2 linked regions of the Rattus norvegicus genome follow. The protein of the gene in region 2 purifies or fractionates together with the protein of the main gene of each other region. This does not show direct contact. Links are inferred from orthologs where the notes say so. Each region holds a gene or a part of one and is shown on either strand. Other genes may lie near its edges.

Region 1 (4,155 bases), on a different chromosome or scaffold from region 2:
GGGACTTGGCCTTCAACTACCAAATAGGCAAAAACTTATCAAATCATCCTAAATCGAGAACAGGTTTATCTGGACTAAACCAGGGGTTGATGTCCAGGACTAATTGGCCTGTCCTGAGCTGTCCAATTGAAGACACCCTCTCAGACAGACTCTTGATGAGCCCAGCTCCTCCCCACTACCTCTAGCTGGGTTTGGTCCCCAGGACCAGTGCCTACACTCACTCCTTGCTCCACTTTTCCTGACAACGGGAAGTGTAACCAGGGCAAGGCCTCCATTGCTTGCTGCTTTCAGCAGGCCCCAGAGATGCCAAGCACACTCAGAAACGGCTGGGTCTTGTACTCTGTGAAGGGGGATGATGGTACCAGTTCCTACCTGGTGGTAGGAACCAGGAACAAGGAGACATCTGCCTCCTTCATTTGGGTGCCCTGGGTAACACTGACGCCTACCTGGTTGTCATGAATGATTACACTACCCACTCAGGAACAATTAAGTTAACAGCTAGAGAAAACGTCCCCTATATATTAACTGCCACACTGTCAGAGTGACTGACAGGAACCTATTCGCTGACTGACTTTATGCTAGGTTTTATTTAAAGTCTGGCTGGGCACAGAAAGACACACACACACACACACACACACACACACACACACACACACACACGCACGCACACACACACTAACCAGTTCAAATATCCAAATAAAATTTACCGCAACTTTTGTAGAATTTAATTTGTGCTACAAGACTTGTTGCATAGGAAACTATTCAAAGCCCCTGAGGAAAAATATCCATGGTTTAAGGTGCGACTGGTTTTGTTTCTTCTTTGGGGGAAAAAGGCCAAAAGAGATGCTCTCTGGACAAAATGAAGGTACAGCGTGACAGGCCTTCGTTACTGCGGTGACCAGGGGGTCCTGTGACTTCGTTCTTGCAGCACTAATGCCCACTGTTTACTTCTGAGTCGGGGTCTGCAGGTGCCGCTTCAGAAGCTATAGACATTTCAGCTCAGTGCGGAGGCTGTACACCGGTCATCAGCCCGCGCTTGCAAAGCAGATGGCGGGTCTGGAACTGGCCCTGTAAACAGACAGCTCGAGTTTTTCCCATTACCAGGGTCACTTAACTGCTGGTCTTTCTGGTATGTGTTCTACTCTCTGTTTCCTCCACAAATGCCACGGCTTCTGTGTGAGCCTGGAAGTCAACATCACCTTGATGTTCAATATAATCGTCTGCAAGCTCCCAGCTTTCCAGAGAGCATCACTCAGGGAAAACGTTCCCCCTGCTAACATTTATACAACTACACTATCCCCTTGTACTGTTATCCTAAGGAGATGTGGGCGCACCAGGAAGGAGGAGGTTAAACGTGAGAGATCAGGTATGGAGTTTGGCAATGGCAGATGACACCTCTACATGCCAGCATGTGATGTCACCTGAAAAGTCACCAGGTGACCGTGGTGGACTTGGGAAGAGCCAGGGGCCACCAGGTTCTGGCTGGGTGCTAGGGCGTCCCTCCCACCTATAGCAGAGGTGGGACTGCCCTGAGGGAGGCAGCATTCAATGGCCCAGAGTGGCAGGGACCACCTTGCTCTCGGGGCATTGTTCTTCAGACTGGTTACTGCAAATAACCAAACACACAGGGGTGACAGGGACCCCCAACTCCAGCTGATTTCTTATTTGTTGGAAGAATCTCAATGGTACCGAGCTACCGTGCAGGGACTTTGCAGTTCACCGAAGCACACAGAGCAACATGCTGTGTGGATGGCCGCTGAGGACAGCAAGAAAGGAGGGAAGGTGGGCAGCCTCAGGGCCACCTACTGAAAGCCACCAGGCCCACAAACTTGCCTTCTCACAGGTGACTAGTGGAACATGTCTGCATGAAGCCAGTATCGTTCCCACTTTGAATGTCAAAATGCAAGATATGTCTGGGACTCAGAAAACACCCATGGCCTTAACATATCCATATACACCTGGGACATAATTTACAAAGGCCTTTAAAGAACACATAGACCTCAACAGCATTTGCTTTTACTAAGGTGGATTTTTTTTAAATAACCTTTACAGTCCATTAAAAAATTAGATACCGCCTTTCTCACGTTCTCTCTAAGTCTTCTGTTAAAAAAAGTGATTTTAAATTTAAAGTACATTTCAACATATAGAAAGCAACACAATTGGCAACTGGAAGTAGAAAGCCCCCTGGGACCTGCCCCTGGATAAAGGGGAGGGGAAGAGAGTCAAAGTCCTCAGTCCCTCCTGGGCATGGCTGGTAGATGGGCCTGGACCTGAGCGGCCATCCCTCCCTGCACCACCGGGTGATGGCATGGGCGCCCCCTGTGGACAGATGATGGGTGGAGTCTCAGCCCTGGTAGGCGGAGTCCCAGCACTAGTGGGCGGAGTCTCAGCAGTAGTAGGAGGAGTCCCAGTACTACTGGGTGGAGCCCCAGCCCTGGTGAGCAGTAGGGCAGGGGCCCTGCTCAGATCACAAAGTCATCATGGTCCGCGGGGCTGAAGGCAGCTGCCCTCAGGATGTCCAGTGAGTTCACCAGGATCAGTGTCCCCGTGAGGTGCTTCCAGCGCCTGGTGATGGGGTTCTTCATCTTGTCCAGGCCTATGTGCAGCTCTTGGATGACATCTCGGTAGCTGTCCCCAATCTGGTGGCTCCAGGTGAGTAAAAAGTCATAGGCGGGTTTCCACATGGCCTGGGTGATTCGGGGAGCAGAAACATGGAAAAAGGAAGAGAGAAAAGTCAGGATGGTGAGGTCCCTCAGTCACTCCTGTAACAGCAGCAGGGGGAGCTGCTATGGCCTGCACTGGGGGAAGGGTGGTGTCCTCCTGTGTCTGAGTCACAGGATGGACTTCTCCTGCCTTATAGCACCGCTTTCACCTGAGCCGTGTATCAGAAAGTGCCCATGCAAAGGAAGCACACACTCATGCTCAGGACTTGCTGCTTCCCTGTCTGGTGAGTCTGAATCAGCTTTCCAGGGTCACCTCCACAAACAGGTAGTGTCGGGCATGGGCATGACTTCAGCACACCCACCTTTGTCTAAGTTAGGTAACATAGCAGGGATTCAGCCAATAGAGTGGACCCCCCAGGGCTCTGTTAATATACTCATTGATCTTACAGGAGGTCATTTAAAAGTAAAATTAGTAAGAGAGGGCAGCGCGCACTTCCCAGATGGTGGCAGAGCAGCCCTGATCCCTCTACACCAGGCTCTGAAGACAGGCTTACGGCTCCCGCCGTATTGGGCAAACTCACTTCACCTCAGCCTGCCCTGCCAGAGTGCTATGAAGTAGATATTTTACTGTTGTATCCCATTGGTCCTAGGATAGACTGAGGGGCAAGGAAAGTAACCAAGGGGTTGGAGCCCCACTCACCTCACTGTCTACCACCCCATTCCTGTCTCGGTGAGGAGACTCATAGGCATCCATCTGTTGCTTGGAGACCTTGGCTAGCTTCTCGGCCAGTTCCCTCCAGCGCTGTGCCACTTCGACGGCTGTGGTCAGGAGCACAAAGTCCTGGATGAGTCTGACCACCAGGCCCTGACAGTCCATTTTCAGCAAAGCCTGGGAAGATGAAATGCAGCATGAGGCCAGGGATGGCTTGGCTCTGGGGGACAGTCAACCTGTTGATGATGCTCTTTTGCCTAAGAGTTCTAAGGCCTGTGGAGCGTACAGGCCCCCTGCCCAGCACTGTGCATGTGCAAGAGGAGCCTTACAGGGCTTTTGGGATATAACATGAACAATGGTAAGGTCACAGTGGCAGGCCACCATGGCCAGTGTCCTTATAAGAGCCACCCGCCTATGAACCAGGGCCGGACTGATACTCTTCCCAGAGGCAGTAGGGGAAGGTGAGTGGTATTTCCAGCCATGGGAAGGCTTGACTCAAGCTGGCCAAGTGTGTCTGTTGTGCTGGTGACAGGACACATTGACAGATGCTGATTGGCTAAGTCCAGAGCCCCTTAGACAGAGACCAGAGGGAGACCAGCGGCAGAAGCAGGTCCCAGTTCTTGAGGTTCTCTCCATGATGCTGGGCACATGACACCAGGTGTTGACCCAAACATGATGCCAGGGTAGAAGGGTTATACCTCATGTCAACTACTTATGTATTCCTGAGAGGGGCTAATTATTGCTTGGATTTTGATATCTGGAAAGAAACTGTTTTAAATA
Region 2 (5,074 bases):
CCTGCCACAACTCATTGGCAGAACCAGTCATCTGCCAGCCCTGTCCCAAGGGGCGTGGCAGGGACCATGCACTCTGTGCTGTGAGGGAGAGACTCAGAAGAGTTTTGTTTCCTGTGTGTGTGGTATATGTGCGCGTCAGATGTGTGTGGAAGCTGGCTGGAGGATAGCCTCAGGTCTCATGCCTCGGGAGCTGTCCACTTTGGGGTGCTGTTTACTACTGCATTTGCTTGTGTACATACGTGTTTGTTTGTGTGTAAGTACACATAGCCCAGTGCACATGTAAAGGTCAGACGACAGCTTGCAAGAGTGCGCACTCTCCCTTCATTGGGCCCAGGTGATTAAACTCAGGCCTGCAGGGGTGATGGCCATCTTGCCAGCCCTCCACCTTGCGTTTTGAGACAGGATTTCTCACTGGCCTGAGCTCACTAGGTAGGCTAGGTGGGCTTTGAGCCTTGGGGGTCCTTCTCTCTCCAGCTCTGTAAGATGCTCTTACAAGGGCATCTTTCCTCATGGTTTTTTGTTTGTTTGTTTGTTTGTTTTTTTCTTTTACATAAACCAGACCCAAACTTGGGTTTTGCACAGAGCATTAATGACTGCAACTGATAGAAAATGAAAAGACACTGTGTCTGGTGGTTTCCATCTGCTCCAACACTGCAAGATGAACAGAGGTAGAGTTGGTGAGTTCTAGGCCAGCCTGGACGACAGAGTGAGAGCCTTCTCAGAGAAATGGAAAGTAAAGGGCCATCCAGCATTTTATCTTCCCTTCAGTTGTCTGCTCCAGTGGGTGTGGTCAGGGCAGGATGCACCAACGGCCTCATGCCTCATCCAGAAGGAGAATTGAACGAGGTCACAGAGCAGCGGGTGTGGGGTTGTAATGGGTATCTCTGTGGGGATTATTACTGTGCAGTGCGAGGCTTCATTCTGATGCTGGGATGAGACCGGGTCCTCATTAGCACGTGCTCCACCACTGAGCTGCACCCCAGCATCGGAGCTATCTGGAGTCACCTCTCTTCGTTCACATCAGCTCTGGGTGCCCAGATTGAATCCACTGTATACAGAAAATACTTGGGTGAGGCAGATGTCCTGCTATTTCCCTGTAATCCCATCCACTCTGCAGTCTGAAGCAGGAGGATTGCAAGTTCAAGGACAGCTGAGCAACTGAGAGATAACTGCCTCACACTAAAAAGTAAGAGGCAGTCTAGACTTGTAGCTTGGGTCCACATGCACAAGGCCAAAATGGCCGATTCGGAGAGAGCCTTGTACCTATGCTGACCATGGACAGAATCTTGTGTTGTTACTCTTCAGACAATACAGCGGAAGAAGAGTTTGCATAGCTTTAAATGTGTACAGCAGATTCCACTGTACGGGAGGAGCTGCAGCTCTGTGGACAAGCGCCAGCCAAGCAGGGGCGATGAAAGCCTCAGCAGAACGCAAACGCAACACAACGTTATATAGGCCGCAATGTGCTGGAGGTGTCCTGGCTCCCTGTGCTTGGGAGCCTGAGTCACGTGATCAGACACGGTGGGGTTCGGTGGTGGAGCACTTGACTAGCACCAGGCCCCTGGGTTAAGAAACATTGCTTCGCAAAATAGAACCATGTTGGTTGATGTCGATACCATGTGGTGGTGATGGATGGCACCCAAGGCTGGTACTCAGAGAGTGAAGCCCGATTCCCTTTCGCAGGTCTCCCGGCCAAGTCCCCACTTCTGGCTGCTCATGCCACTGGGACTGGGGCGAAGGAAAAAAGCACCACCTCTGGTGGAAAATGAGGAGGCGGAGCCAAGCCGGAGTGGGCTGGGCGTCGGGGAGCCCGGGCCCCTGGGTGGAAGTGGAGCAGGGGAATCCCAGATGGGTTTGCCCCCACCTCCTGCTTCCCTCCGGCCTCGCCTCGTGTTCCATACCCAGCTGGCCCACGGCAGCCCCACGGGCCGCATCGAGGGCTTCACTAATGTCAAGGAGCTGTACGGCAAGATCGCTGAGGCCTTCCGACTACCGGCTGCTGAGGTACCAGTGGGACCACGGTCCCTTAAGAGCAAGCCACAGGCCTGGGCATGTATTCCTGTGAGCTGGGGCTCGTGTTCCTTGCTGGCCAGCAGCCCCTGAACCTAGGAGGCGTGGCTACAGGAGGATACTGAGTTCCTATGAGGCCTTGAGAGACTTGTACCCTAGTAGGTATGGGGGGGGTTTCCCAACGGGCCTTACGAGGCTCGTAATCTAGTAAATTGTGGGTCTGCAGATACTGATTTCCCATCAGGTCTGAAGTAGCCTGTGTCCTGGAGGATGACAGCCACAGGTGGCAGCTGGGTTTCCAAGGCATTGGGAAGCTTGTGCCCCAAATACTGTGGGACCTCAAGAGGGGGAGGGAGGGTGTTAGGAGCAGCTTCTATTTCTCCAGGGTGCCCTGGAGGCATGACTCCAAGCTAGAAGCTGAGAAGCCACTGGGAGGGCAACAGTGGGACTGAGATTCAAGTGGAGATGGGTAGGAAGGCTGGGTGGGAGTCTAGACCCCCTTCACCCCTCAGTAAGTATCGAGTGATCTCTGTATGTCAAGCTAGCTCTTGAGCTTTTACCAGGACAGAAATCCTGCTCATAGCATTTGATGTGCCAGTGGACCTCTCCTTGGCTTTGGGTGTTACCAGTCCCTGGGATAGGGGACCCAGGGAGGAAGGATGAGCATCTTGCCCCACCTCTGCAGGTGATGTTCTGTACCCTCAACACCCATAAAGTGGATATGGACAAGCTGCTGGGGGGCCAGATCGGGCTGGAGGACTTCATCTTTGCCCATGTCAAGGGGCAGCGCAAAGAGGTGGAAGTATTCAAGTCTGAGGATGCTCTGGGGCTCACCATCACCGACAACGGGGCCGGCTATGCCTTCATTAAGGTGCCCGGGTGGGTGGCACACCCTTAGTCAGTGGCCAGGGTCTTTAATGGGACCTAGAGTGGAGCTTCCAGGGTTGATGCCTGCCCCTCCACAGCGCATCAAGGAAGGCAGTGTGATTGACCACATCCAGCTCATCAGCGTGGGTGACATGATTGAAGCCATCAACGGGCAGAGCCTGCTGGGCTGTCGGCATTATGAGGTTGCCAGGCTCCTCAAAGAGCTGCCCCGAGGCCGCACCTTCACCCTCAAACTCACCGAACCTCGGAAGGCGTTTGGTGAGCCATTCTTGCAACCTGGACCACCCACCGGGCTGACCTTGAGCTCTTAAGAAATACAGATTGTAGTCCTGGGAACCACCAGCAGGTGGCACTCAAGCCTGCAGTGCAGAGTGGGGGCAGCCCCACCCTACCCTAGAACTGAGTGCTGGCTGACAGCCCAGCCAGAAGGAAGTCGCCCCCACACCCGACTTCCAGGAGCCATTAGCCCAGCCGAGTGCCCCCAACCCTGGCCAGCCCCCTCAGCCTGGAGAAGTGAGGCTTGGCTGCCTTGTATGGCTCCTGTGCCCGGCGCCCCCCCCCCCCCCCCGTTTCTACCTGGCTTCACTAACTCTCAGGAATGGGCCTGAGGCACCCCTGATGTGGGTAGAAAGGGCTTATCTGAGACTCAGCAGTTACACTCACCCTTCTCAACCCTCACTCCTTCAAATAGAAGCTACCTTCCATTCTCTCTCCAGCTGCTTTTATGTCTGGCCCCTAGCTGCCCCTCACCATCCATGCAAAGTCCTGCCTTGCTGGAACCCAGTCCCTACCCAAGGAGCCTGCAGAACTTTGAAGGTGGTGGGAGGTGGTTGTGTGAAGCCTGCGTACTGTGTTACCGTGGGCTGATTTTCCCCACTACCTTTGCCTTCTACAGATATGATCAGCCAGCGTTCATCAGGTGGTCACCCTGGCTCAGGCCCACAACTGGGCACTGGCCGAGGGACCCTCCGGCTCCGATCCCGGGGCCCTGCCACAGTGGAGGATCTGGTGAGTGAGCCCCCCGGGCCGGTGACACCATTCTAATTATGTGAAAGGCTCAGGACACCTCTCTCTGCCTAAGCCTACTCTTACCAGCTCTGGGACCTACGGTGGTCCATCGGGCAGCCTGGGGTCTCCTCCCTGTCCAGTAGGTTCAGTGACTTCTTGTCAGAGCAGACATTAGCGATGTAAACAAAAAGGGCTGCCAGCACGGAATTTCTGGCAGGAGGATTTCACATTCGCTCAAACCGTAAGACCTTGTCACCAGGTTCTTATATGAAAATAGATGAAAGGCAGCCCAGTGTAGATACGTACCCATAATCCTCTCCAGGCTACTGGATAGGAGTTAAGTGTTCAAAGCCAGTTTGGGCAACTTAGAATATGTCTGGGTATGAGAATGGTAATTTCTGGATGTTGGGACTGAAGAGATGGGCTTAGCAGTTTATAGGAGGTGTGGCTCTTGCAGACCACACAGGTCAGTTCCAAGTGCCCATGACGGGTGGCCATCTCTTAACTCCAGTCCAGAGGTCCAGTGTTCTCTTCTGACCTCCACAGACACCAGGCAGACACATAGGACACACAGATATGTGCAGACAAAAGGATCCTCTACATTAAATAAGTAACAGCGGCAGCCACACCAGTGGGTGCATGCAGCTCACCACTGGAGCTGATGCCTGCATGCTGTCCCCAGCACTGACATCTGTTGACATTACTGTACTGTCTTGTCCCCACCCTCTACAGCCGTCAGCTTTTGAGGAAAAGGCCATTGAAAAGGTGGATGACTTGCTAGAGAGCTACATGGGGATCAGAGACACAGAGCTGGGTGAGTGGGGCACCCGTGCCTGGAAGGTGGGAGCAGGCTTCCAGGTCCCACCCAGGCGGAGTTGAGCTACATCGTGCCTCCGTCTTTCTCCTCCCTGACAGCTGCCACGATGGTGGAGCTGGGGAAAGACAAAAGGAACCCAGACGAACTGGCAGAAGCTCTGGATGAACGGCTCGGTGACTTCGCATTCCCAGATGAATTCGTCTTTGATGTCTGGGGAGCCATCGGGGATGCCAAGGTTGGCCGCTACTAAGACTGGGACTGAACCTGGACCTTGAGATAACCTGGCTTTGCCCAGCTGGGGTTTCCAGAAACCACAGCCAAGACCTGGGCTGACAGCTTAGGCTGTAACTC

The links.
Region 1: the proteins of Gipc1 (region 2) and Sh3bp4 purify together in Homo sapiens (affinity purification with mass spectrometry; 4 studies listed by BioGRID and IntAct, with this or other methods). This does not show direct contact. The link is inferred for Rattus norvegicus from reciprocal best matches to the Homo sapiens genes GIPC1 and SH3BP4.

The regions. Positions count from the first base shown.
Region 1 is NC_086027.1:97,183,426-97,187,580, reverse strand, and holds the end of Sh3bp4 (SH3 domain-binding protein 4), read right to left. Parts: intron 3,553-4,155; coding exon 3,364-3,552; intron 2,688-3,363; coding exon 2,463-2,687; 3' UTR 703-2,462; downstream 1-702. UniProt on the Homo sapiens protein: May function in transferrin receptor internalization at the plasma membrane through a cargo-specific control of clathrin-mediated endocytosis.
Region 2 is NC_086037.1:41,380,547-41,385,620, reverse strand, and holds the start of Gipc1 (PDZ domain-containing protein GIPC1), read left to right. Parts: upstream 1-1,678; 5' UTR 1,679-1,716; coding exon 1,717-2,004; intron 2,005-2,695; coding exon 2,696-2,881; intron 2,882-2,975; coding exon 2,976-3,156; intron 3,157-3,793; coding exon 3,794-3,906; intron 3,907-4,638; coding exon 4,639-4,720; intron 4,721-4,821; coding exon 4,822-4,973; 3' UTR 4,974-5,074. UniProt on the Homo sapiens protein: May be involved in G protein-linked signaling.